Linked DNA regions of Lytechinus pictus. The protein of the gene in region 4 purifies or fractionates together with the protein of the main gene of each other region. This does not show direct contact. Links are inferred from orthologs where the notes say so. Each region holds a gene or a part of one and is shown on either strand. Other genes may lie near its edges. The genes, in order: inhibitor of growth protein 1-like, trinucleotide repeat-containing gene 18 protein-like, histone deacetylase complex subunit SAP30L-like and SIN3-HDAC complex-associated factor-like.

What was found.
Region 1: the proteins of SIN3-HDAC complex-associated factor-like (region 4) and inhibitor of growth protein 1-like purify together in Homo sapiens (affinity purification with mass spectrometry; 3 studies listed by BioGRID and IntAct, counting the BioPlex papers as one, with this or other methods). This does not show direct contact. The link is inferred for Lytechinus pictus from reciprocal best matches to the Homo sapiens genes SINHCAF and ING2.
Region 2: the proteins of SIN3-HDAC complex-associated factor-like (region 4) and trinucleotide repeat-containing gene 18 protein-like purify together in Homo sapiens (affinity purification with mass spectrometry; 3 studies listed by BioGRID and IntAct, counting the BioPlex papers as one, with this or other methods). This does not show direct contact. The link is inferred for Lytechinus pictus from reciprocal best matches to the Homo sapiens genes SINHCAF and TNRC18.
Region 3: the proteins of SIN3-HDAC complex-associated factor-like (region 4) and histone deacetylase complex subunit SAP30L-like purify together in Homo sapiens (affinity purification with mass spectrometry; 3 studies listed by BioGRID and IntAct, counting the BioPlex papers as one, with this or other methods). This does not show direct contact. The link is inferred for Lytechinus pictus from reciprocal best matches to the Homo sapiens genes SINHCAF and SAP30L.

What each region holds. Positions count from the first base shown.
Region 1 is NC_087249.1:47,989,622-47,997,341, forward strand, and holds the start of inhibitor of growth protein 1-like, read left to right. Parts: upstream 1-4,702; 5' UTR 4,703-4,825; coding exon 4,826-4,958; intron 4,959-6,955; coding exon 6,956-7,587; 3' UTR 7,588-7,720. UniProt on the Homo sapiens protein: Seems to be involved in p53/TP53 activation and p53/TP53-dependent apoptotic pathways, probably by enhancing acetylation of p53/TP53. Component of a mSin3A-like corepressor complex, which is probably involved in deacetylation of nucleosomal histones.
Region 2 is NC_087254.1:4,947,173-4,954,586, reverse strand, and holds the start of trinucleotide repeat-containing gene 18 protein-like, read right to left. Parts: upstream 3,010-7,414; 5' UTR 2,814-3,009; coding exon 2,252-2,813; intron 1-2,251.
Region 3 is NW_026974140.1:19,466,452-19,473,483, reverse strand, and holds the start of histone deacetylase complex subunit SAP30L-like, read right to left. Parts: upstream 3,020-7,032; coding exon 2,747-3,019; intron 2,392-2,746; coding exon 2,263-2,391; intron 1,147-2,262; coding exon 1,048-1,146; intron 1-1,047.
Region 4 is NC_087263.1:5,710,197-5,717,668, reverse strand, and holds the start of SIN3-HDAC complex-associated factor-like, read left to right. Parts: upstream 1-4,447; 5' UTR 4,448-4,644; intron 4,645-5,154; exon of another isoform or gene 5,155-5,482; intron 5,483-7,472. UniProt on the Homo sapiens protein: Subunit of the Sin3 deacetylase complex (Sin3/HDAC), this subunit is important for the repression of genes encoding components of the TGF-beta signaling pathway.

The DNA.
Region 1 (7,720 bases), on a different chromosome or scaffold from region 4:
CTTTGTACACAAATCTCCCCATTGATATTATGTGTAAATGTCCCATACATAACATGTTGTCCCATACGTAACATTTTTTAAATTAACTTTTAATTAAAAAGTAAACTCTATTTTTCAAACTTTTTGTGATTTAACATTTTCATACTTAATAAATTAGAACTTCCCAGAGATGCAACAATACAAGTATTGTATTATGAGAAATAACTTTAAAAAACATCCTCACAATGTTACTTATGGGACATTCCATCCTTGGACAAGACCTAATTTGCATAATTAATTAGATGACACCACTTTTTTCCCCCCAAAGTAATAAGATGTTAGGGGGTCCATGTCCCACCTATGACTAAATCTCAGAAATTTTGTTATTATTTTCTATGAGTTTTTGAAATTGTCCCATACGTAACTCCCATTTTACCAATTATGCAAATTAAATGCCCCAAATTAGCATAAATATGCATATTATCACATTTTTCCTAATGAAATTTTAAAATTCAACATTTGGGCTTTCTTACCCCACCAAAGATAACTTCTTATAAATTAAGGATGAAATTTTGCCTTCTAGGGTGACCTTTTTTTGGACTTGCCCTACCATCTTGCCTGTGGGGAATCTACAGGTAGGACTATGGTCAGTGGCGTACCGTGGGTCACGGCATTGGGGGGGCACCAGAAAATTTTTGAGTCACTTAGTGAGCGCGCTCAGTTGCCAGGTTTACTGACCTAATAGAGACATTTTAAGGACAGTGCCATAAAACAAATATGTATCCCACTGATCAAATAATGCGAGCGCGAAGCGCGAGCTGAAAATTTTTGATATTCAGACCTAAAAAGGGACATTATAAGCAAATTTTTGTTATGATGATACGTACCTTTCTCGCTAAACAAACAATGAGAGCGCGAAGCGCGAGCTGAAATTTTTGTATATATTAACCCCAAACAGGGACATTTTAAGGACTATATTTTAGGAATCCATTAGGAGTATACATATCTCACCAATCACCATAGTCATCTTATTCGAGTACCAAGCGCTTGCTGATTTTGTACATCTAAACACATGAAGCAATTGCACTCATTGTAATCATGATTATCATCTGCATCTCCCTAATCGAGTATTGCAAGGACTTTAGAAGGGAAAATTAAAAAAATTCAGACCTGAAGAGGGGCATTTTAAGGCTTGTTTGTAGGATTGCGCGAAGACCATACGTATTTTACTATCCAAATTATGCGAGTGCAAAGCGCGAGCTGAAAATTTTTGGTATTCAGATCAGAAAAAGGGACATTTTAAGGACTGATTTTAGGAATTCATGAAGAGCAGACACATCTCACCAATCTACTGATGCAAACATAAGCACGGACAGGAAATGTTTAATATTAAGACCTTATAATGGGGCGATCACTTTAAGTAGTCATGAAAAAGAAGCATAATTATGTCACTATATAAAACAATAATAACTCGAAGTGCGAGAAATATATTTGGCTTATATTGACTTGAAAACGGGAGGTTTGAGTACAACAGGATTATATATCTCGTTAAACAGACAATGCGAGCACCAGGAACAATGAAGACATACATGTAGGCCCTGAGCAAATTATGTTTCATATAAAGTAATGAAAAAAAAATGTTTCTTATGTAATATAACATTAAACATAACTATAATATAACATTTAAATGAACAATAATTTCTTCTTTCCCACTACGTTTCTCTTCCTTTCTCGTTCTTTTTCTCCTTTTCCCCCGTTTTTTTTTTTGGCCAGCCGATTGGGGGGGCACGTGCCCCCCCCCCCCCATGCCCCCCTGTAGTTACGCCACTGACTATCATGGTATGCCAATGCCAATGCCAATACACAGCACACACTTTAAAAAATCATTAAAATCACCAAAAATACTAATTTCCATACAGTTGCAATTTAGTAACTTGGGAGTAATTTTGTATTCACCAGAGCGCTCGAAAACTTGAAGTTTGGGCATATTTTTTGTACGCCCTCTATTGTTGGAAAGTAATATGGCAAGACAATTGTCATTTTTCAATACTGAGGTTTTAGCGGGTTTTTTTTTTTTTTTTACCTGACTGCTAAGAAAACACGAATGCCTGTGAGCAAGCAACCAGGGGACCAACGGCTTAAGGTCCTCTCCGAGGGACCTGGTAATGAGGATTAATGCCTCTGCAAAGGGCACTAGCGCACCACTTGGGAATCGAACCCGGGTCACCGGAATCCGAAACCCCCGCTCTACCGGATGAGCTATCGCGCCTCCCTATCTCTATTTTTAATTAAGAAAAAAATAATTTAAAGAATCAAATTTACTTAAGAGCCAAGTTTAAAATATATATAAGTTTAATATATTATGATGAATAGCTGTAATGGAAACTGACAGTGTCAAAGAATCAAGCATTTGTCCCAAAGAAAATGAGAAAATATGCCAAACATTGCCAACCTTATTTCACCACACAGGCCGAGTAGTAACACTAACCTTGTTCACTGAATGAGTGGTTATATCATAACCTTGTTCATTGAATGAGTGACACTAACCAGTCGAAGCGCTCGTCCAAAATTGGGATTGTCCCAAAAAACAAGGATATCCTCATAAACACAAGACAAATCATGTCTTGATAAATTGAGAATGTCCTTGTTTATGGGGACGTTTTTTTTTCACTTCCCCCTACGGGACAAAGACAGCAATGAATTACGGGAATTGAGAGTGCTAAAAAAAAAAGATTCAGTCACTCAGTGCATGACCTCAATTCCCTCCAGTTCACCGTCTATTTTTCATGAATTACTGACTACTGTCTTCCAATAATCTTGTTATGAAACCTGATATGTTTAGAATTCTACATTGACTAGCACACTTGATTGGTGTTGGCACTTGACAGGTGAATGAACTTTCCTAGATTTCTTGTGTGAAGACTGAAGGAATCCTTATAAACCCACCTATGGGTACATTACCGCCGCCGTGCACAGGATAACCGCTGGCACGGCACTTGCAATAAGTTTTTTATTCTTATTTAAAAATTTGAAATTTATCTACATTTTACATGAAGTAAGCTTTGGATATGAAACTTACCGAACGATATGAAGCCAATTTCAATTCCTCTCTGTCTTTCTGGTACTTTATATCGATGATTTTTCTTGATGTCGAAGCAGGCATGGCCCCGATTAGCTGGTTCTCTCTATACGCACAGAGAGGGCGCGCGATATTATTAAATAAACTTGCTTGTTTACGTCGTTTACGTCAGATCAGCTGTACTGCTGGCTGCGTTCTAGGCGCTCCGCATTTTTTTCACTGTTCAGCGTTATTTTATGATGTAGCGCCATCAGCGATTATACGTGACATGCAACCTGTTGATTTTTGGTACAATTTCCTATTATGCGCCGGCGACTTGAATCTAGACTGTTCGATAGGAAAAATTCGCATTTCGATTGTTGTTTGCGTAATTTCCACCGCAGTATTAAGGATCGGACGGAGTAACTGGCTGAGATTTGGAGGTAAGCGTTTAAAATCCATTTTTATAGATAAGTTCGTGCTGATTTTCAAAATTAGATTACATTAATAAGATTAAGATTACTAAATTTAGTATATTGTGAAGATTTAGGCGTGTTTCATATTCTCACATTCGTGTGATGAATGAAAACGTCAAAATTAGACATTATGAAATGACATGCGTTGTGCGAGGTTAGTAATAGTATACTAACCTCGCATGTTGTGTGAGTGTTATAAACCGAGACAGTCCCTGTAATTTGTAAACTGGGACTGAGTCTGACTCTGAGACTGAGTCTGAGTGGGACGATCCCAATTTTCTGACCAGCGCCTCAAGGAGTCAAGGCTCAGCTCTACTTTACTAGTACTGCTAACAAAGTAACAGAAAAAAAGGTTATAATAACCTTGTTCATACTTCAATAGAAGACAAATCTAAAGTCTAAGCTCTAATGACAACGTTATGCCTATGCCTGGCCGGGGAGAGATGCATGGGTGGGGGCATCCCATTTACCGGCACCTGCAACTCTTACGCACACATATCCAATGGTATTGTCACAATTCTGTGATCCAGTAATTCCAATTGCACAGGAGCTAAATCCCCAAATATCATTATCATTTTCAGACCGTCCTATACCATGTATACCTATTCCTTGCAAATTTGTTCGTCCTCACGTTATAGGGCTAGACACGAATAAAAACAGTGCTACTGGAATGATAAGTCTGTAACTGCAAGAAAATAAAGGTAGAAGAAAAAAGGGTGAACACAACTACTTGCCTTCCAAAAGTAAACTGCGGGTCGACTCGTCCAGTTGCTCTTGCCGGCGCGGCAGGACGTGTGGCCTCCCGTGCAGCGGGATCGCATGATGCAGAGCATGCACTAGCTAGTGCATGCCCCGGCGGCTCCGGCTGGCCTTCCAATTCCAACGTTGGGTCGGTCCAGCTGTTCCGTATTTCCCGCGACTCTAACTTCCGGGTAAGAATATTCCATTCGGCTAAAATGAAAGTAGATATAGTGCGATGATAATAATTTCTTTTTGAAAATATTCTCAATTTTTTTTCCATCTTTTTCAACTTGAATAAGCTTAATGATTAAGGAATTTCTACACTGAGAAAGAAAAAACATCAAAATTTGATTATTCTCAAAGCTTTGAACTTTTTAACAACAAATAGTTTACCTTCATGAAATGGCACGGTCGAAGATTGACCTTTCAACTTCATCTAATTACGCATGCGCTGCAGTATTTTAATGTTTGATTCTGCTCAATCAACGTCGTCGGAGCTATGACATTTTGAAAACTACGTTTTCGAATTTTCATATTATTTCGTTAATCCTGGACTGAATCTGTGATCAAGATGAGTCATTCGGCTGCAAATATGTACCAAACCACTAGTTATGTAGAAGACTACTTGGATTGCATCGAGTCGCTTCCAAATGATCTGCAAAGGAGCGTGTCTCAAATCCGTGAGATCGACAATACGTATCAGAGTAAGTGCTATTTCACACCAACGGGAATGTAAGCTGCGCGTCCCCCGGCCTATCGGCTAGCAAGACAAGGCATTCCGCTGATTAACCTCAAATCGCCGCTCCAGATGAAGTCGTCAATCTTGTCCCAACCCTGGATGCATTGTTTGGCTCTCATTGTCAGTTATTGTCTTTTTTGTAGGGAAGATAACACCAAAAAATTATCCATATATGTCAAAATGAAATATATTATCTACGACTACGTGGAATGTTTCTTGGGCACTTGGCTTGGGGTTAATTTGTATGACTATCTATGATGACGTATCTACAGTACTATCTAGATAGTAGATCTTGTTCATGAATGAGTGGTGTCTCAGTGTCTTTGACACATGTGACTGTGAGGCTGAAAATATGTGTTCTTCTGATGAAACAATTAAGTGATGCCGACAGCACCACACCATACATGTTACTTAAGTTATCCAACCCTTGGGTAAAACTAAAAGTTACTTTATGCTTAGCCTAACTTAGCTCTGAATAGGGACTAGCTAGGCTAGCCCTCGGCTCGAGTTATTCTTTTCCTTTTATTTAATTTGTGGCTTTCTTGTCTCGTCATTTAATGGACAAATTCATTCATGATCCTGATGCCCAGCCATGGCCATGGTAAAATGTGACTAGAAAATATTTCATGTTTCTTGGGGTTTTTGTCTCACCTGCATAGCAGTGTGAGACTATAGGCGCCGCTTTTCCGACCGCGGCGGCGGCGGCGTCAACACCAAATCTAAACCTAATGAGGTTAAGTTTTTGAAATGACAGCATAACTTAGAAAGTATATGGACCTAGTTCATGAAACTTGGCCATAAGGTTAATCAAGTATTACTGAACATCCTGCCTGAGTTTCATGTCACATGACCAAGTTCAAAGGTCATTTAGGGTCAATGAACTGAGACCATGTTGGGGGAATCGACATCAAAATCTTAACCTAAGGTTAAGTTTTTGAAATGTCATCATAACTTAGAAAATATATAGACCTAGTTCATGAAACTTAGACATAAGGTTAATTAAGTATCACTGAACATCCTGCATGAGTTTCACGTCACATGACCAAGGTCAAAGGTCATTTAGGGTCAATGAACTTTGGCCGAATTGGTGATATCTGTTGAATTACCATCATAACTTTGAAAGTTTATGGATCTGATTCATGAAACTTGGACATAAGAGTAATCAAGTATCACTGAACATCCTGTGCGAGTTTCAGGTCACATGATCAAGGCCAAAGGTCATGTAAGGTCGATGAACTTTGGCCATGTTGGGGGTACTTGTTGAATTACCATCATATCTCTGTAAGTGTATTGGTCTAGTTCATAAAACATGGACATAAGAGTAACCAAGTATCACTGAACATCTTGTGCAAGTTATAGTAGTTTTCAAAGTCAGCACTGCTGCTATATTGAATCGCGTGATGCAGGTGAGACCGCCAGAGGCATTCCACTTGTTTTATATTGAAATTTAATATTGGGAAGCTGAAAGTATGTGTAGTTGCTGATGTGACAGCACCACAACTCTCATGATAAATTCCTTTATTCTTTGATAATGATATAATTTTATCGGCATTTTGGTACGGTAACAAAAATATACAGTTGTTACAGTAGTTAAATTTATTCCCATTTGCAACGTTTCATACCTAGGCAAAAAAACTAATTTGGTGGCTTAAAAAATTTGATTAAATAACCAGGAAGGCAAGTTGGGTTATATTTTCAGGGAATTTCTGCTTAAGTTATGTTTACTTAATAATGGGATAAAAATAGAACTGATGGTTGGGATGATATTATTTTATTACTGTGAAGGTTTAAATTGTCCTATGTCAGATAAAAGGTACCCATTATTCAATTGGAGCCATGCACTGATGTAAGAAGCTGACTAACACCAATATTAACACGAAAAGAAGGCCTAGATCTACACCAAACTTGAAAGAACTTAAAAGCATGAAGCACTTGTAATTATTTTGTTTTTTTCATCTTCAGGTGTTTTGAGAGAAATCAAGCAGCTCTATGAGACACTGGTGACCAAGGATCTGGACAATCACAACAAACGGCGAACCCTCATCCACCTCCATCGATGTCTCATCCAGAGTCAGGAGCTTGGAGACGAGAAGCTCCAGTTTGCATCTCAGATATCGGAGATCGTTGAGAACCGCCTCCGCCAGATGAACATGAATCGCACCCATCTCGAGATCATGGAGAAGCCTGAGCATCCTCCTGACCCCCCTCCAAAGACGAAGAAGGCTGCCCCAGTGGTCATAGAGCAGGAAGCGCCTGCGGAGAAAGCAAGCAAGCGTTTGAGACGGGGCCGCAACAGTGATGTCAAGGAGAAAGACAACCACAGGGTGCCGCAGCAGAACGACAACAACCCCAAGGCCAAGAAGAAGAAGCGTAATAAGACTAAGGAGAGGGACATCTTGCCCATCGATCCTCCCATCGACCCCAACGAACCCACGTACTGTCTTTGCCAGCAAGTCTCTTATGGAGATATGGTTGGATGTGACAATAAAGACTGTCCGTATGAATGGTTTCATTTTGGATGCGTTGGACTCTCATCAAAACCCAAAGGCAAGTGGTACTGTCCAAAATGCTTGCCGGAAGTCAAGAAAAAATGATCGCCACAGACTAAATTTTTAGAGCCTATTTTACTTTTCAAGCATTTTATTTAATATGTTAGCATCTCGCACAACATGCTACATGTAGATATTTGTATAAATATTGTATATAAACTGCATCGAGAGATGAACA
Region 2 (7,414 bases), on a different chromosome or scaffold from region 4:
CCCACTATTGGATTTTCAATGTCTCGGTGACATGTAAACTCTAAAATCTACATGAAATTTAAATCAAGAATGGCCCAATGATTTGGAATTAGCTAATTGGACAAACAGCTTTTCTCAGACTCTAATCCTAATTATACAGATCTTTATCAAAACATATAATTAGACTTAGATCCAAGGTAGAACCGTAAGTATGATAAGCGAAAAAAAAAACCAGTTACTGTTTTTGTTTTCATAGAAAATCATGAAAAAGAATACACTTTGTGGCTTGAACTAATTAAAATTAAGGGGTGGTGAAAATATACCATGAACTTGATAAAGAGGCATTTTATTATCCGGTCGGGTAAAATGTCGTATACACCCGACTTCAAGAAAAACGCATAAAATTACAGTGACAGCCAGTAAGTTTTCATATACATGTATATGCGTCCATGGTTTTGCACACAATCCTATTCTATTGCCATTTCAAGTAATTATCCGTCTGGAAAACATCTTGCCGGTCAAAAAATGCCCGTCTCTTTGCAAGTGACTTTCTCATCAACTTTCGTGTGCCTGTGGAGCATTGCCCCGAAGTTTATAATTAGCCTGACGGATGTTTGATGCGAACGTCATTATCCTTGACAATGTCTTGCCAGTCTGCACTGTCTATATTATTATTATTTCTTTATGTAAATTATATCATTTATAGGTCAGTCCAAATTTCATGTTAAAACGCTAGTTGTCCGACCTCCTGCCCATTCTTGCCTATGTCATTTCCATTCATGCATCACAAAGCTGGTGTTTAATGTATTCTTCTTACTATGTAATTACTTTAAGTGCAGCTGTGTATATTATCTTCATATTGTATTGTTTCCCTTCTCTCTATCTCTCCCTTTCCCTCTGTTTCCCTTCTTTTCCCCAAATTCTCCCTTTTCTCTCTTCCCTTTCTTTACTTGCCACTCTATGTCTCATTTTTCTATCCAGTTGACTTCTTTCTTCTCGCTTTTACATGATCTCTTCCATCCATGCTCCTCGATTATCTCTCGCTACTCGTTTTTCATTCTGTCGTATGAGTAATTATTTTGCTAATTCCTTTTTATTGTATTGCAATACATGTTCATTTATATTCCTTCAATGTTAAATATTTGTAAATACATACGTCATTAGTGTTTATTTATGTATTTACACAGTAAAAACGCTGTTTAAGATTTTATACAACGCTGTTTACTATATGAACCTTACAGCATTTGTTTAACCGTTTAAACAATCATGTTTAATTTATTGAAAATTAGATATTGAAAATTAAACATTGTTGCTTAAGATTTAAACACTTGTTTAAACTGTTTAAACAATTACTGTAAGGTTCATATAGTAAACAGCTTTGTATAATTTTTTTTACTGTGTATAATGCACTGCCAGTGGAGGACTAATTCCTATGGTTTTTTTTTATATGTACCAATATATGAATCTGAATCCGAATCATTAATACTTCATCTCAAACATAACTTGACATTTCACCAACTACGATTTCGGCGTATAAAACTGCGTTTCCCTCCTGTTACTAAATCCAAGGGGTAAAGTTTGGAATCCGTTTGTCCCACGAACACACAATTCACTGCAGTGACTATGTTTTCCCATTTCCTAATTCAGCGCCATTTTGCAATTGGTAGGAGATAATTTCATCCGTTTCTCCAAAGATCGGCGTCTGACTGCCGCAATAATACCAACGTCAAAACGCATTCAAAGTAATCTCTATAATGCTCCTTTTTGTTTCTATCACTTGCCGTTATTTGTCAAAGTGGCTATGATTAATGAGTCAGCATATTTCCAGATGTCTATTAATGCTTTATTAAATCAGCTTATGTGGTAAATCGTAGTGTGACATATACACAGTCTGCATGTGGTCATAGTCGACATCATGCTCCCACTTCTTGATCTTCCCCTACCATGACTATCTATCATCTATCCATGGTAATTACGGACATGAACTTATCGCAAAGAAATTAATAAATACATATAGTTTCGCGATTAAAAGAAAAAATACGTTCTTTTTATTATACAGAATAATGTCATTCTGAAAACATACCTATATGTAGCCTCTGGAAAAAGGGTGCAATATTTGCGAGCAATAAACTTGCACTTGTACGAATTTTGCACTAGGAAAATTTTTGTCAATATTTGTCCATAAGAATGACTAATATTTTCGGTCAACAGGAAGTATGAAATGAAGCATTTTCTTCATAGTTCACAGAGAGCAACCAAGAGCAACACTCACCTCCTAAAGCTTCCATTCTGTCATATGTTGGCTTCCCTTTAGTTGTGATTGTTATGGTAGAGTTATGAATACCGCTACTGGTACCAACATTGATTCCTCGTAATTTCGATCCCCCAAGTTTGGGGTGTGATGTTTCGTTGATCTTGGACGATGACGCCGATGATACAGGAAGATCAGCAAATACTGGACTACGAAGAGAATGCTTGCTTGATACGGAAACTGATACAGGGGCTGCCGCTGGTGTCGCTGCTGCTGCTTCTGCAGAGGTTGCTGAAGCCGGTAAGGTTACTTGGCGGTACGTAGGCTGTCGATCATTCCCTGTTTCCGGTTTATCAGGGTTGGGTTCTTGTCTTGGAGGTGATGAAGTGTCTTTTGGTAATTGTTGCTGCTTCGGTGCTGACGGATTGTCTCGAGGTTGTCCCTTTTCTAGGTGCTCCTTTGGCTGCTTCTGCTCTCCCAGTGGTTTCAGAGAGGTCTCTGGTTCCTCCTTCTCTCGATGGTGGTCGAAGCTGGTTGGTGATGCTGCACCGTGCCCTGGCCGAACGCAAGGCGATTGTGCCATTGGCCAGTGAAGATCCCGTTCGAATTGACAAGCCGAATCTAGCCTCCAATGCCTAGGCTTTCCGGGTTAACACCCGGTTAGCCTAGACAAACGGAAACCCTAGCAAAATGCTAGATGATTTATAGCTTACTGTTTATAAGTTCCATGGTGAGGTCTCTGGCAGCAGAGCCATTATCTTCCGAGTTCCTGTAAATAACCAAATGAAATGAGGAGACTGGTAAGTATTTCGTCTATGTTCGAGCGCCTACGCCTACATACAATTTGGAAAGACTTTGAAACATTTAAACTTACTATTCATTTATTTATTCATTGATTCTTATTCATTCATTCATGTATCGGATGGTGCAAACATACAGGAATGCGAGTTTTTTTTTTTTCTATCGATGCTTCGAAAAGATAGCCACATCTATATTGTAAGCGTGTTTAAATAACCAAACCGAGAGGAATACACAAGAATGTCAGAGGTTGTGAAAACCATTATCCACACATTTCTCAAAATATCACTTTCCCCGATTGTTGTGGAACACAAAAGCAAAAACAAGGGATTCGTGTACCATTGGCCAAGATCTATATTTTGAGAATTGACACACACAAACATGATGGGCCTAAACATCGTGGAAATTATTTTTCCTTCTCTTTGGGTAAAATATTTCTTCCCTTCAGACGAATTTCATTATCGCTGTCCGCTCACTGAGTTTCTATTCTATTATTCTCTGTTTTCACACACACACACACACACACACACACGCACATTTACCCCCTTTTCTTCCCCTCTAAAACTCACTTTAGTCGCATATTCTTTTTCTTTGATAATAATACGAGCCCTCAACCACCTCCTATTGTGCCTGGCTTATTTCCTATGCAATGAATTCTCCTCCGCTTTCGCGCATGCATGAGGGAGCGAATTGAGGCGACTCAATTCATGCTATTCTCCAGGCCTACCGGGGACACCGCTGCTTTCCTCCCTCTCTCCTCTAGTTTTCTACTTTCGAAAGCAAGCGTGACATAGCTGCTGCTTGCAAAGTCCCTCACCGTGTTTGCATTTGTGAAAACGCACAAGAAAATTAACATGAATTGGGCGATTATGTCTCGCGAGGAAAACAGCATTCAAGACGACAAAACCAAATAGAAACTTGTGTATGCAGAGCGAGACGTAGACAAATTCGCCAGGTTAGTAGCAGCTATTCTCACGACCACCGTAGTGTTCATTTAGTGGGATTTTCATCGTCTCCAGCGCCCCAGCGCCCCCTTTACCCACATCAGGTATCATCTGCGTGCGCATTTTAAATGCACGCATCAGAATTGGTGTGCCTCTGGCAATGTGTTCAAAGGTTCTTCTGCATATCAAGATAAAGGGCATGCATAAACATGGACACATCATTTCATGTCCACGACTTGCTATTTGAGCTTTAGAGATCTCAATCAAGCTTACTTTGATAAAAGGCACAGGAACGACTTCACCGGCAGTAATAAATATAGAAAGACTGGGTATCTTGATTGCTGCGTGGTGATTAGATGGAAAAGGGTCATCGCCAAAAGCACATACGAAATGCGATTCTATACTGCAATCATGAGCATTATGCATCAGTCAGACCATGGACCTAATAGGACCATAGAGCTACTACTCCATGGTCAGACCATGTCCATCAGAAATCCATGAAGGCCTGTATTCCGACTGGTATAAATTCTCCCTAAACACATCACAAAATCCTTTCAAAATGATAGCGGATAACAGTTCGCCGACACTGCCATATAAATCTTAAATAATTCAATAGTTGTAGCAATATATGTATATATATATATATATATATATATGTTTATATGTGTGTGTAGCTTTAGAATCTAAAATTCATTACAGAATTGGCAGCTTTTCGTTCAATAATGACAAACCCATCAAATCTGCAAAACAGACTGAACATTTTCAAACCTCCCTTCACAATACAATTATGGCTTAATTAGATTTTCAGTTTAAGTGAACAAGAACTGTGATCTTTTGTCCCCATTTGAGGCAACATGTCTCACGATAACTCTTCCTTCTCCATAACATCATTCACCGCGAATTTTAATGAAGTAGCACGGATCCCCTCGTCAATACGAGTGCCGACTTTTCTCAAGCTCACGAATAAAATCGTTCAAAAGAATAGAAAATGGGGGCGGCTTTGCCCACGATGGGACGAAGAAAGTGGAAAACAAGGCCTTGACGTTCATGACTACTACGACTACATACAAGATTACGCTTCACATGCAATGTCCCCGACATCGGTTTTAAGTGCTGCGGGAAAAGGGCTTTGACCCCGTTCATGTTGCATGTTTCTTATAGTTGATGCTGATTGAGTCTAGCATCTCATTTCGGTGATAGGCTTACAGGTGTATCAACATCATCGTGGGCGCGCTTACCAGAAAAGCACACTGAACGACATAGTAGGAGAATCAATGTATCATTTATTTCGTCTCCTCTTATGAGCTGACCATCAGACGACAACCCAAGAGTGTTTTGACGACGATATTGAATTTACTTGGGTAAATCGCAAAGGGTGAGCGATATGGTTTAAGCAGAACCATGGTCCTCCATGAGCAGCATAACGTATGCTTTTGCCATTAACACCACCAAGAAGATGGTGAGTTTTTATTCGGTGTAGGGGATATCTTCCACCATCCTTGGAAAGGCCTATTCTTTAATTGGAAAAAATTAATATAAATCAATACTTTATACCATCAACCTGTCCAGCTAATCCTCGGATTGTTAATTCATATACATCATCCCAACACGTGTGATGTGTTGTCAATGGATTTCAAATTATAAAGTTGGCTCGGCGCCAATTCATAATAGGGTAACAACGCTGATTCTGGGTCACGTGATACAAACTTGACCCTCAAGCACCTAGAGCATGGAGGCGAGTTCATATTCATTCTTCCCGAGTGATCCCGGCCGACATATGCGGCGTGCATGTGAGTGAAGAGTGGCTCTCACATTTTAGCAAGGTGTGTACGTTGTCTGGCAGTGAATTTGGTTCATCTGGGGCCCCGTTACGTAAAACTTGTAAATTTGCAATACAAGTGAAAAGCGACGGAAATCCTTTGCTTTGATTGGCTGATAGTAGTAATTCTTTTAATGAAGATTGTGTATCTGTTATTATAGCAAGTCTTCATGAAACAGGTCTTTTGAGTTCTCTCTTTTCATGGAGACAGAAGTTTACTTTCATGTTTCGTTCACGACCATTTCTACATGACAGTTCTGAGCATGTTCTGAGTGATGGAAGAACCACTGATGCCTTCGAGGCTTGCCGAGGTCCCAGTAGTATAATACGAAAGGAATGGGCGGGGGTGAGAGATATCGATACATATACATTTTGGAGACATAATATTGAACAAAAATAAAATACTTCATATACATATATATATATATATACTCCGCAAATTTGTTTGTACATTATGGCCACATGTTTCTCTTGTACTTCAGATACCTGAAGAAGGCCCAATTATGGCCGAAAGCTTGTGATTAAACTTGATGAACTGAACCCCGGCTACGTCTCATTGCTTATTCTCGCTGTATTTATAGCATCCTCTCAAATATATATATATACACACACGCACACATAATTATATATATTTATATGTATATACAGCATATATATATTAGGAGAGGGGGTGGCTAAATTTATTTTTTTTAAATATATAAGTTATAGTAAATGCATTGTTGATAGCCCCATGGTCTGATGGTTATGATGAATTTCACGTTCTTAATTTTGTGCACTCTGATCTGCGCATTACAACGGGAGGCACTCTTTTTAAATTGTTGGGATGTTTTCCTCCAATAGGAAAATTCCTTCATAGATCTCTGCTTTTTACTTCGTGATCCATCTCTAAATGTTTAAGTACCAACTGGAAATCATTTTTGTTCGTTCCATAAATTGCTTTGCATACATTCATTTTTTTTATTACCAAACAATTCAGGTTAGATCTTAAAGGGGTACACCGGGCTGAAAATATTCATATAGAAATAAATAGAGTATAATTCACCAAGCAAAATGTTTAAAACTTCATCAAAATCTGATAACGAAGTTATTGAATTGTCAAATTTAGCAATATTTTGAGAAAACAGTTGGATACACGCTGTCACGAATATTCATTGAGTGGGCTGATGATATCACATCCCCACTTTCCCTTTTCTTATGGTATTATATGAAATCATAATAAATTATTTCATTTTTTTCATACATGTGTACAGGATTTGTCCTCCTATTTAATAAGATGCAGGAAGGAAAATCTTGTTCTCAATCCAATTTATTCAGCTCTTGGAAGACAAAATTTGAGTAATCATAATTTCATGTAATAGAACACTTTTGAACAAGTAGGGATATCAGTTTCGCATCAGTTTGCCAATTTTTTATTCTAATTTGTTTTGTTTTTTGCTTTTACTTTAAATTTAAGGGGTCAAAATTAAACATGTAATAATTTTAAGATCGTTTTTTTTTGGGGGGTCACTATCATCACTTTAAGATTTCACTTTCTTTCGTGCATCATGCATCCTAAGAAATACAAAATCGCAATGTTTCTAGAAAACCTTGGGGCTTACGTGAAAAAGGGTGGAATTCTTTATT
Region 3 (7,032 bases), on a different chromosome or scaffold from region 4:
CTACATGCCCACTTCCCCCATCCTGAGCTATGTCACTGCTGACCATGGCAAAAAAATCATATAAATACCTCTCTCAAAGGGGTTTGTAGGATCGTTACTATTTCTACAAAGTAACCCCCCCCCCCCCACACACAAAAATAAAAACTAATGAAGTCCTTTTCCATGTGTTAACCCTAAATAGACTGGGCTATTTCGACGCCTAAGAAGACTGGGGGGGGGGGCTGATTCAGCCCCCCCTTATGATCTCGGCCGTCGACCGCGCGATCGCGACGAAAATTGGCACACGCGTTACCCATGGCATTATCAACAAAACTATAATATCAAATTCTGCAAAAAATCTCATTGCTCATTAATTATGCTAATTTATGCGTAAAATCATAAGTTTGCTCTAATTAATAAAATAATGCCCCTAAAATGGTAATTTTTGTTTCACATACTCTAGATAGGCATCTGATCAAATTTATTTTTAAAAAATTTCAACATCACATTTATTTTCTTATGTATTCTATTGTTTTCTAAATTTCTTATGTATTTCTTTGTTTTTTGACTTTTTGTTTTTTATTGTTTTTCAATGGAAATTATCGGGGACTTTATTTTTACCATTAAAAAGATAAAATTAATTGATTTTAAGCAGTAAAAGGAAAAATAATGATACATTTATGAATTTTGGCTAAAAACACTATTTGCATTGGATTTGTACACAAATTTACGTTTTTGAGTAATTTTGGGTCTGCATGCACTTACAAAATGTTGCGTAATTTCGGAACCGCGTACCCGGGGGTCACAATTTTGGTCTCGAAAGTCGCGCGAGACTTGAAAGTAAAAAGTCAGCAAGTGACACGGTCAAAAACTTTCAAGCGGCGGATTTATCGCGAAAAATGTCGAGGGGGGGGCTGAATCAGCCCCCCCCCCCCAGTCTTTTTAGGGTTAAGAATATCAATTTTCATTAGAAAACTGCTTCTTAAAATGGATTCTACAACAAAATAGTGCTGCGGCAAGAAATAAACATACCCCCACCCATAATTTGTGATAGTTCCTTGAACTTACATCAGCAAGTTGTGCCTTGTTGAGCCCTGGTTTGGTCTGAATCTTATAATGTCTCTTGTATCTTCTTAAAGTATTCACTTGTAAATGAAACAAATCAACCTGTAGAGAAAGAAAATAGTCAGTGACATTCATGACATTTTTCAGTAAATGTTACAAACGTACAGTATGGTATGGGTTTATAGTTTATCTCCCTTGAAGCTTCGGGTATTTCAAGAGCAATTGGGTTTCATGTTTTAATGAACTCTATCAATAGAGCAGTTCCAAGGTAATGGAGAGATATTCAGAAACAAATTTTAGCATTCAAACAAAGATATCACCCATATTTAAATAGTTATTTTCAAAGAAATGGTACCTGACAGTAGTTGATGAAGCCCACTTTAAAAATAATAACATTTGTTATTTTGATCCACTGAATTTATGAGATATGAATATTCATAAACATGGTTACAGAGTGACGCAAAATGGACATGCATATTTGAGGAGAAAACATATTGCTCAAACTCTGTGAACTTTAAATGGCTATCACAATTTTGAGTTATTGATTGGATTCTATGTTGTTCTAGCTTTAATATGCTGCATTACATTAAAAATTGGTGTATTTTTTCAGTAATTACAACTTCAAACATAAACCCATATTCGGTTACGGAGTGACATCTGAAATATTCACCCACAGGCAACGTAAAATGAACTTATATTTAAAAAACTTTCTTTTGATATGATGTAAAATGATGACCTTCAGATTATCCAAAAGAAAATTTTACAAAACAAGCAATAGTTTTCCGCTAAATTGAAATTAAGGAAAAAAAACATTCATAGTCCCATGTATAGAATTTTTTGTATGGTTTGGATTCTCCTATAAGGAGATGCGTAAGAAAAAAATTTGTGTCTAATTATGTTCCCCTTTTGTATTTATGAAATCCCATATGAGTTTTGATAGAAAAATTTGATCCAGAATTAAAATAGAGCCAAAATAAATTTTTGGAAAATTTCCACTTTTGCTTGGAATTGCCCAATACTTGTGTTCCCGGGGAAACTGCAAGTATATCACACTTGTATACAACTAAGGATCTAAGATTTTTTTTTAAAGGAAAGGCCTATCAGTCTTTATTGTTGGGATATATAAAATAAAAAAAAATAAATAAAAAATTCTTATTTCTGAGTCATCATGATAAATAAATTGGTGAATGATTGAAAAATGATTCACAAAGAAAATACCTCTGGTACATCAAGATCATGATCTGGAGATATTCCACCATCTTCATCACTTCCTTTCTTCCTCTTCTTGGTACTACGAACACTTTGTATCATAGACTTGTGAAAGTCACAGATATAGATATGCCTCACCTGTTTAAAAATACCATGAAGATAGATAATGATTATTTTAAAAAAATCACCAATATCAAAGAAACAGTGTACTTCTATGACTTTCATGATCACCTAATTATGGCAATGACAACTTCATGAAGTTAATACATCTGAAAAAAGATGATGCTGAAAAAAGATACAGTCACTGCTCACAAGAGAGAGATTGGCACTCACTGACAAGCAAGTAAAAAGATAAAGAGCTCTAATAAGGTTAATTATAAATTATTTCACAAAATTACATAAATATAAATGGTTTCTCACAAATATAATTCTTTCAAGAACATGTTCACCTCTCAATATTGTCATTTGGAAGTTGATGTATGTGCATACTCACACTGTGATCAATAGTCAGTTTTAATTTCCTCTGTTGAACTGTCTTAGCAATACGTTTACTATAGCATGCATTCCCTGCAGGTCTTGAACAGCGCTGACCATCGTCCACCAAACAACATATCTGACCATGTCCGGAGTCACGACTGTCATCCTCTGTTGTACTAAAGCCATTCATCTTGCGCTGCGATGATGTTGAAGACGACAATTTTGTCGTCGAAGGATTCATGCTCGATTTCATTGAGCTAGATTTAAATGGGCTGCTTTTCTCTTTCATTCTGGTATGGACAAAAGATAAGAAAAAAATTACCAATCCAGGCACTGTTCATGAATATATTTGCCTACATGATACATACATAGAGGAAAACTAGAATGTCACTGGTCGTCTTCATTTAATGTTTTGTTGAGGGGAAAAAAAACTTCTTGGAAAACATTTTACTAGATTTTAAACAGGGAAAATAAATATTAGATTACCAACTGTCACTTTTCAAATACACACAAATTCTAGATTGCTATTTGAGCAAAATGATAATGGATAATTCTTTAGAATAAAAGTTAATACAGAGATACCATTTACATGCATCATGATGCATGTGTTTGATAAGACTTGCATATTAAAGATATACATGTATTCATGCCTATGTTTGACAGTACAACACTCAAGAGTAAAATAGTTAAACTAAAGAAATGTAGTGAAGTTTCTCTGATCTCTGTGAATCAATAATGTCACATGGATAAACTCATATATGGTAACAAATCTGCATTTATCTTTTTATTGGAGACTTGGAGTGCATAATAAATGATGAATTAAACAAAATGTGTGACAATTTCCATTTTTGTCACTGCCATGATCTTACGTACTGTTTTGTACATCTATCTGAGTTTGCTATGCACTATTTATTTACTTTACTATTATGAGTGTGTGTCTATACAGAGATTTTTTTTAAAGTCCACATAACCTGAGAACAATACAAATCTTTTATTCTCTTTCAATCATTTCATATTTACAATGATAGAACAATTTATATATTACCACAAATCAATTAGCAAAGTAAAATAACAGCAAACAAGATTTACATACAAGATGTACAAAGTGAAAGTAACCTAGTGGTAGTGGCTGCAGAATTAATATTTTAGAAGTTTGTTTTATTCATTTTTAATTAATGTTTTTCTTTATATTTTTCGGGCCACCAAAAAAAATTATGTTATATTTTCAATTATGGTTATGAATACTTTCATTTCTTATGAAGATTGAAATGAATATTTTAGGAATTAATTAATGGTATACAAAATCGACCTCTACATGAAAACACAATAGATTGAATTGTATTTATATTAAAAATATGCAGGGTTTTTTTAAGAGACTTGAGTTTGAATGACTGTGGAAATCTGAGTATGTATTAATCTAATTATTATTGTTCATTTTTTATACCTAGATTCTCATTTTTGCACTGTTTGAATCACTTGTTTACTGCAACCACCCTGCCTGTGGGGAATCTACAGGTTGGACTATGGCATGCCAATGCTGTACAGAGCACACACTTTAAAAAATATCACTTTTGTGACCAAAATTACTTATTTCCGTACAGTTGCAATTTATTTTTCATTAGTAACTTGGGAATAATTTTTGTATTCACTAGAGCGCTCAAAAACTTGAATTTTGGGCATATTTTTGTGTACGCCCTCTATTGGTGGAAAATAATATTTTTAATTAAGAAAAAAATAATTTAAAGAATCAAATTTACTTAAAGGGCCAAGTTGTATGACGAATAGGTGTAATGGAAACTGTCAGTGTAAAAAAATCAAGCACTTGTCCCAAAGAAAAAGAGAAAATAAGCCAAACATTGCCATCCTTATTTTGCCACACATGGAGATTTAACCGAGAACAAGGTTATATCCACTCATTCAATGAACAAGGTTATGATATAACCTTGTTCACTGAATGAGTGGTTTGAATAATCTTTGTCTTTGAATTAATTTCTTGCACATATTTTAGTTCCCGTGCAAGTCTGTTGATACGTACATTACAGAATACGAATTGCAATTCCAAATTACTTAGAATCTTCATTAAAATTATAAAAGAAGTTTAAATAAATGCTAATCTTGCACTGAATTCAGTCAACCAACAACAGGCAAGAACTTGAACTTGTCACCATGTCCATGGCCATGCCCATGGCATGGCATGGACTTCTCGACTTGGTCCACTCACACAACATGCGATGTTACTAAACTATTTTTTATTGACTTGGTCTTGGTCACTGCACTGATCAGTATATGGTATCATTTTAAACTTTAAAATATCAAATTATGGAATGGTCTGTGTGCAAATAAATGTGGCAAAATCGTGATATAGGCCCCGCTCGAGAAAAACTTGTAATCGATTATACTACCTCAATATCTAGGTTGCTAACTTCAGCTCACTATATATACTCGTGATATAGGCCCCGCTGCTGTGTTGAATGGCTTAGAATGTCCGTTTGCGGGGCCTGTTTCACGAGTAAAGTACTATAATCGTTATATAGGCCCCGCACTACGGCACTTCAGACACTCCAACACAGTAGCGGGGCCTATATCACGAGTATATATTAAGCTTGCATCCTAAGATAGTCGCGAAACTGGCCCCGTCCAATGCGCTTGTCCCAGCATTCGCACGTGTGTGGGGCTCGGATGACGGCTATAGTAGTATACTCGTTATCGAGGTCCCTTACGCTGTTATATAATGGAAAATAACGTGGTCGTGGGGCTTGTTTCCCCGGCCGGTGAGAATTATCATGGGCGGCGCTGTAGGGGGGAGGGGGGGGGCTTCAGTTTATTTTCCAAATAAACAAGGAAAGAATATCATGGGCGGCGCTGTAGGAGGCAGGGGGGGGGCTCCAATTTATTTTCCAAATAAACATTAAGGAGAGATAATAATTTACTTCTTCAGAAATTTATTTGTCGATTTATTTATATTTATTCATTAATCATTTGATTTATTTGTTTTCAGTTTTTTTTTCTTTTGTGATGTAGAGAGTCAGAGGTATCAATTGGTTTTTAATTATTTTTATGTTTAAAATTACATTTATTTATTTATCAACCTATATATTTTAATTGTTTAATTAATGTATTTATATTTATTCATTAATCATTTAATTCATTTGTTTTCAGTTAATTTTTTTTTGTGATATAGAGAATCAGAGTTATGATTCGTTTTTAATTCTTTTTATTTGTGGAAGTTCATTTAATTTATTTATCAATCTATTTTAATTGATTAATTAATGTATTTATATTTATTTATTAATCATTTAATTTATTTGTTATCAGTTTTTTCCTGTGATATAGACAGCCAGAGGTATCATTCGATTTTAATTCTTTTTATGTGTGGAAGTTCATTTATTTATTTATTATCTATTCATTTATTTATCATATTTTCATCTTTTTGTTATCTGAAGTCTTATGTTGATACAGGGCCATACATTTCATTTATTTTTCATTTATTTTTATTCATTCTGTAAGTTATAATGGCTATACAAAATGAAGACGGCACTCATTGTAAAGCTTAGAATATCTTCTCTTTCACCTGGTATCCTCAGAAGATTCCTCGATCATTCAGGCATGAATGACTTTGAAAATTTGAAGAAAGTATAATCTGAATTAAAAAATTATCGTTTACCTTCTTTGAATTAGTCGTAGTTGAACTTGGGGTGTTATAACCTTATTTTTCGTTACATAAAAGGAATTTATATTTTGTTTAAAGGTCAAGTTCACCCCAGAAAAAATGTTGATTTGAATAAATAGAGATATATCAAACTAGCATAACGCTGGAAATTTCATCTAAATCGGATGTAAAATAAGAAAGTTGTGATATTTTAAAGTTTCGCTTATTTTTCACAAAAAAAGTAATATAGGCCCTATATGCACAACTCATTTACGTGCAAATGATACAGTTCCGGCCTCGCTATTTTTTTTTTTTTTATTATACAATATTTCATTTTTCACATTTTTTACAATAAGGGCCAACGTGAATGAACCATATGTTCAGGGAGAAATTGTTTCACTTGACAATGAGAAGAAAATGGGAAAATATCATATTTCATATAATACAATACTAAAGAAATAGTGAGTGGATGGCATCATCAGTTTCCTCATTTGCATATCGACCTGGATGTGCATATGTAACTATTATTTCAAATTAAGCTAAACTTCAAAATGTTATAACTTTCTTATTTTATCTGATTTTGATGAAATTTTCAGCGTTATGAACGTTTTTTTTTCCTCTTTATATTCAAATCAACTTTTTTGTTGGGGTGG
Region 4 (7,472 bases):
TGATGTAGCAATTTTTTGTTTTCTTATAGTCAGAAAAGGATATTAAATGTATCAGAAATTCCTCAAATGAAAAAGCATGTGACATTTTGATTACATTTCAAGAGTTTCTCAAAATAGCAGATTTGCATGATGTAGTACAGAAAAATTTGAAAATTGTAGATACTTCTCACAGATTGACATTTTTCTTCATTATGATTACTGAGGATTTACTACATTGTATTTTGTTGTTCACAGAATTATAACATTTTCATACTTTCACTTTCGCAGCTGTTCAAGTGTCACAGTACAAACATTACTTTGGCAAAATTGGAGGTCATATTTGTACATGTTTGTTCGTCAAATATTCATGTAAATATTAAGTATTTGCAATGGTAGCAATACTCTCATTCGGGTTCTTTCTTGCCAGTTTCAATATCAAATTGATAGTACTGTTATAAGAAACTTTATTTGTGAGGAATATTGTATGCAATGTAATATTATTGTCACAATTTAATGTATTCATGGCAGTTAATGTATTTGTATGCTTGTAATATAAATTATTGGTTCAGTGTGTGTTTAGGACTATTCATTATTTTGATATAGGATTGAATAAGGTTTTCTGTCTTAATAAGATTTTGGGGAATATGTATATATAAGAAGTTGACATACACTTAATTTTTTATCAATTAATAGTATACATGTAAAATTACTCATAAGTGAGAAGTTTCACTTAAAAATTCAGTTTTCTTCTGGTAGAAGCATTGTCGTCAGGTTACCATGGAGTAAGCATTTTGCGTGTTACTACGGATATGTGGATGTAAGAGATAGAGAGTCTGTGTGTGTGCGTGTGTGTGTGTGTGCGTGTGTATGTTCATCCAGTGTTCATCCAAGGTCAGCTGAGACAAGCCCTCCTAGAAGGAAGTTCACTTTAGTCAGATTTGTTTTCTTAAAGAAATTGAAAGTTTGCCATTATTTCAGGCAGTAGTTGCATAAGTGAAAAATTGCTTTCACTTGTAATTGATTCTAATGGGTTATGACTGAATATTTGAATGATTATGGTACCCTTCATGTAAATGGATTGCTTTAAAACACACCTGTTCATTAATGTACTCTCATTTAATATACAGTGGCCTGAAAGTTTGTGTAAGGTTAGCAATGACAACTACTTTAATGCATGCAAGGTGAATTTTACTTGTTGAATAGATTTATTTACAAAATGTTTAAGTCAACTGAATTGCAAACAGCAGATAAAGTAACACCAACCAAATTTTATGGTTGTTCTTACAACCTTTGTTGCTTGCTCTGACAGGTCCAACAAATACATAAAGAGTTTATGCATGCAAAAAGGATGCCACTTATTGTAATACCATTCAGTACATGGTAATTACCTATTACCAAATCCAGAGGAACAAAGTATTCATGAAATTTGACTACATTAGTGAACAGGTCTGTAATGAACATCAGCATTCTTAGGACATTTCTGTGTACATAGTTTCTGTATAATTGTCATCTTTGAAATTTGATTATGCAACACATTCTACTTGCCAGCATTTTGCCCATGATCCTTACAAAAATTGTACTGTTTGTGAAATATGGCATTGTCAGTTCTACTGCATGTTAATGCAATAAAGACTTTTCAAAGTTTCATTCAAAAGTTTTACTCAAGTGTATTTTTGTCATTGGAAGTTGTGCCAATTACAGTAAAACATACTGTAAATGGGGTCAATTTACAGTAAATTACTGTAGGGAGTGTACAGTACTGGGGGTAAATTGGGAAGGTGTACAGCATTTTACTGTAGGAAGTGTACAGTACCTCACTGTAATGCAAGGGAAATTTACAGTAGTTTACTGTAATTTAACCAAATTTACAGTAGCAACAATTCTAAAATTTGGTAAATTTTACAGTAAGCTACAGCACTTTTCACGGTATTTTCCTGTAGCTAGTTCAAATTTACAGTAATTTACTGTAGGACGAAACTACAGTAGCTTACTGTAAAATAAAAATTACAGTAAATTACCGTGCAGCAGAGTTGCCAGTAATTTACTGTAAAATCTACAGTAAACTTTTTACAGTTGTTTCAACCCTTTTCTGGTGTGGACCGATACCGGGCTGGTGTTAAATCAATACCGGTGTTTTTGCAATGTAGTGATAGGCCTATATATAGGGGGCATCAACCCCAACTTTTTTTACAGTGTACACTGGAGTCTGTATGACAGCGGGTTTTAATATGTGGTCACAGACCCTGATTGAAACTTTGATCAACAAGTGGGTCTACTCGCAAAGACTAGCACATATAAAACTTGCTCAAGTTTCAATATTCCTAAGTGCGTGGGCCTTCAGTATATACACGCAATGTATTTTTCAGGCTGCACATTCAGACCCTTAAATCGAGTGAAGTGTTTGTACAGCAGACTAAGCGGGTTTCGCCGCGTCTAGGGGGGGGGGGGGGCAAAAAGGAGGGGAAAAATGGAACAAAGCAGAAAGAAAAGTTAAATTATATTGGTCGTAGATATTTTACCTGTTGTTCTTTTGAGAGAGGAAAATAATCTCAGTGTTGGGTTGTCTCCACACCACAGGCGCGTATCCAGGGGAGTGTTTCATCAACATTTTCATCCGACAAGCTGTCAGATCTGACATCTTTCTCTGATGTTGATTGGCTGAGAGATACTGTTACTATGTAACTGTTGGATAAAATGGGACTTGTCGGATAAAACGTCCGACAAGTCCTTTCATGAAACGCCCCCCAGGAGGACGGGGATTAGGCGGGGCGTAAATCGTAAATTGCGGGCGCACCCCATAAAATTTCACCCCCCCCCCCCTTCATCCAAAAAGAACCCCATTTCTGGTCAGGATATCCAACAATTTTTTGGAGCTCGCGCTTCGCTCTCGCATCACTCATTAATAAATACGCATCCTTATGATTATAAAACTTAGTGCTTACTATATAATGTCCCGTTTTTAGGTCTAATCATAACTATTATCCGTTCATTGGGTTTAATGTAATGACTAATTATTCCAATCCAGGGCGGAAGTAAGGGATCGAGTGGGCGAAAAAGAAATAATGGTATAGTACCAACTCCGAAATAAAAATGAAAAGAGATGGTCGTACCACAATATGAGTTGCAACCCAAAATTTCACAGCTTCCTAAAATTGGCATAATGAGCCGAAAAATGAGGGGCTACATAAATCATGGCGTAAAAATTGTTAAAAAGTTGCATGCGAGCAAATCGAGCAAGCAAAAGTTTTGACATTTAATTACAAAAATCTAATTTTGTGATGGATTTTGATGAAATATTAAAAAATAATATAATATTCCACCCTTCTTTTTTTCCACTATCTTCTTTTTTCTTGGTTTTTTTTTTTTTTTTTTTTTTGGGGGGGAGGGGCAAGAGCCCCCAAGGCCCCCCCCCCCCCCCCCATCTGTACGCCACTGCTTCCTAGATACGAGAACATTAATGTACTGTAACAGGGTGCATTTTGTAAAATGCTGACTATTTGTTAAAAGCTACTGTTATCCTTGTATCTGATTGGCTCAGCCCCAGAGCAAATTGGAAAGCACTGGGAAAAAATGAATTATGAAATACTTCATGTTTAGACATTTATTACTTCAGCGCTGTCTTAAACAGGTCAGAATTAAGAGGTGTGTAACAATGACAAATTATGTATATATATTTATATCTATATATATAGTACAATGCATTACCACTTTGCCTCATTAATATATATATATATATATATATAACAAGCGCTATATACTCTCTATACATTCCGTAGATTGAAAGTCAATCAAATAGATTGTGGTCAAGGCCAATCCAAAATTCGATCGAAAGTGAAATCACATAAGATTGAATTCTAAATTTAATACATTGAAAATTCCAATCCAATTTTGGATTGGTCCCTGATTGCAATCTATTTCATTCTAAGGAATTTAGAGAGTACATACTATGCAAAGAAGCCTCTCCAAAAACAAACAAAATAACAAAAATACCAATATAACTATGTTCTGCAGATTTTTTGTAACAGGAATGATGAGCATAATTATGTTTGCTCATCTAGTTTTCAAAAGTACACTGGTTCCTCTGACCTCCTCAATGTCAACGAGAACCATGTTAGGGAATCACTTTATGACACGCCCCCCCCCCCCCAAAAAAAAAAAGCAAAAAAATGTTGGTCAACAGGATTTGAAAACCATAGATAATATATTTTTAATGATTGATTATCATTTCCAAGACTGAATAGGTGCTTTTTTTCACACGTTGGATTCAGGACAGGACACGGAGGATTAGTATATTGTTACTGGGCCGTGCTGAGCATTGTCACGGCACCCCCAGTAACAATAGATAATCCTCCGTAGCCAGGTCCATGGTTGGATTCAGTCCTATATTAAAATCAAGGACATGCAAAATCAAATCTAAGTTGTAGAATTTAACACAATCCAATAGTCTTGAATGAAAAACATTTTCATTACTTCGGCAAGAGAGGGGGCTATACCAGAAATAAATTGATTGGTCGTGAAAGACATCGTGACCACTACTCTGATCGAACACTCTTTTCATTTGTTTTTTTATTCTGAGGATTTCATATTCTATCAGCTTTCTCCCGAAGTTTGGTAAATCATATCTCCAAGAGCAATCAGTGACCTTTATATCTGTAAATTTCCAAGGTAAGACACTTTCTAGATTCGTTTATTTTTGGAAGAACATGATGTCCTATTTCGATTTTCAGAGAGATCGACCGGCGTGCCGGTATACTACCAGAACACACGTGGAGTGTACGGAGATGAACCCCGGCGCGGCGCTTGCTCACACATCATTGCCTGCGCCTTTTTCGTGTATTAGCTCGTGCCTCGGTAAAAAGTAAAACTGAAAAGGAGTGCTAAAAAATTGACACTCATGAATTTTAGCTCCATCGGCTATGACAATATGTATTCTTTTCACCATTTCCACCATTATTTTCCAACCCTCGAACTTATGCTTTGTTTCTTGCTATTTCCTCTTATTTTCGATTTCCCCCCCGGAAACAAGAGATTTCCTGTGTTTCGCATGTTTTTGTTTTTGCCCCCTCTCTCGTCTCCGATCCAACAAAGGGTTCCTCCGGTTGGTCCTGCTCGATCGACCGGGCCTTGCTGGGGGTCTTTGTTCGCGTGCCTGGCACGTGCCACTCGCGAGCCGTGGAGCCTCACAAAGCAATATATGGCCAGGATTTGGGCTTTATTCCACCCTTTGCTTTGTTCCTATTGGGTGGCTCCCAGACCAGAAGGGCCTGTAATTTATGCACACTAATCCCTGCACTGTGTGGTATTGCTGTGCTTGAGACTGAGTGATGTTTTGTTATTGTGGTCCAGCCTTTTATATGAGTCCAGAATTTGCTGAACAAAGACAAGTTTGAGGGTATTTTTCTCACATTTGCAACTTGGCAGCTCAGAAGTGAGGTTGGATTTTTATTCCCAAGGAACTTGATAAATTATAAATTAGGACATTGTCATTGACATTAGTGCTACTGTGAGTATTTTACACATATTTTATTCCAGATTCTGTTGATAATGTAATGATATGATTATGATACTAGTACAGTAGGTCTAAGTTACTCTATTCCAATTTCGATCATTTATATTTGTGGATAGTTGTTGACAGAAAGTTATCAGCTTCTTTGTGTGAACTTACATTATGATTAGGTAGTGATGATTGCAAGCCATAACTGTTGAATTATTCAACACATTTCAATATTGGATAGAATTACGATGAAAATATACGTACACTGTGCATGCCAATGTTGAGTGGATGTCACATTCCAATTATATGTTGAATCTCCATCCAAACAGTCATTGTCATTATGCAGACAGTCTCGTTTATTTGCTCTGACAGCATTTAAAATGGTCTTGTTTAGTCTAGGACTAGGTAGCCTATTTTTCTATCTCATTGAAATGGATATCATTATTATTTTCTTAGGGACAGTAAATTAATTTGTGTCAAGCCTTGATGCCCTTGTTGACAGCTGATCTTCTAAATTTAAATAAGATAAGTTTTATGATGATGTCATTTATTGTCACACACATTATACTGTATGTGTAATCATATATTTAAAAAGGCCTACTTGTAACTTTCAATCAGTGCAGAACGTATTTTGTGTACATTATTAATTTCATCAATATTACAAATCAATATTGTCATAGTTTGCAGCAGGGAGATGGCTAATATAAACTGAAACCTTCCACTTCCAGCCTTAGATACTAATTACATGAAGATTCACATGTACATGTACCATTTATAGGCAAGTTTGTGTTCTTGTCAAGACATTTTGTTTATTCATTTTAGCATTCATTGCATGCTGAAATGACACAACATGGCATTCAATTTAGATTCTTTCCAATGTCATGACTACACACTTACTGCACTTGTATATTATTTTGTACGCCAAGTAATGTATGCCAAGTTCTTTGTTTAGAGTATGAGGAGGAGGTCCCATTGTTGATTTGGGGCGTCAGTGCAAGCTGTTGGAAAATTATTCTTTTGATCTTTCTATCCTTGTTGAGCTTCTGTGAGCCCTTTGTTGTCCAATTATGTAACCCCCCCCCCCCCAGGAACACAATGACAGTTAACAATACATGTACAGTACATGTATGTGGTACAATGTAGTGTTATTTGCCCACAAGTATGCATTCTATTCATGAAAAATCATGTAAAAAAGTTATTTATTTATTTCTTTTACATTAAATTATTCATATGATTATTTATTCATTATTTTTCAATTTATATATTTATTTATTCATTTATTCATTTATTCACTCATTCATTCACTCATTCATTATTTATTTATTCATTCATTAATTAAAAAGTCAAAAAGGGGCCTAAGCTTTCGATCCTAGCAGAATCTTCGTCGGAGGCAAAATGACAAACATATAAAGTGGAACAACCATAATATAGACCACAAACAAGCTACAGCAACACTAGAAACAAGGAGACAAAAGGGGCATTAGTGAGTAGAGAAGACCAATCAGGTTAGTGAAGGGGATGAAAGAAAAGGAGTAGGCAGACACAAAGGGAAGTTAGTGTAAGTAAGGCCAAGAGGGATTAAGATAATGAGGCAGGCAACATCAAACAGGATCTGGAACAAAACAGTGATAGAGGGATGAATAACTAGAGAATTAGTGAGAGGTGGGTCAAACAGGTTACAAAGAAAGGCTGGACACTCCAGTTGGCCGCCATTTTAACCTCCCCAACCACTCCATCACTCACATGATGCTACAGGGCATCGAATCTTTAGGTACCCGTCCTGACTCAGTCCGTACTAGCAGGGAGAAGCTTTGGATGAGACGACTTCGCACCACCCAACCTCATGGCCTGAACATCCAAGAGGGGAACGACTGATTTTCTTTCCTATCCACTTTCAATTTATATATACATATAATTTTTCCCCTCAGCTCTTTTGAATAGTTACATTATAGTTTCTTACTCTACTTTCCTCCCATATCTCATACAAGCTCAGCTCCAA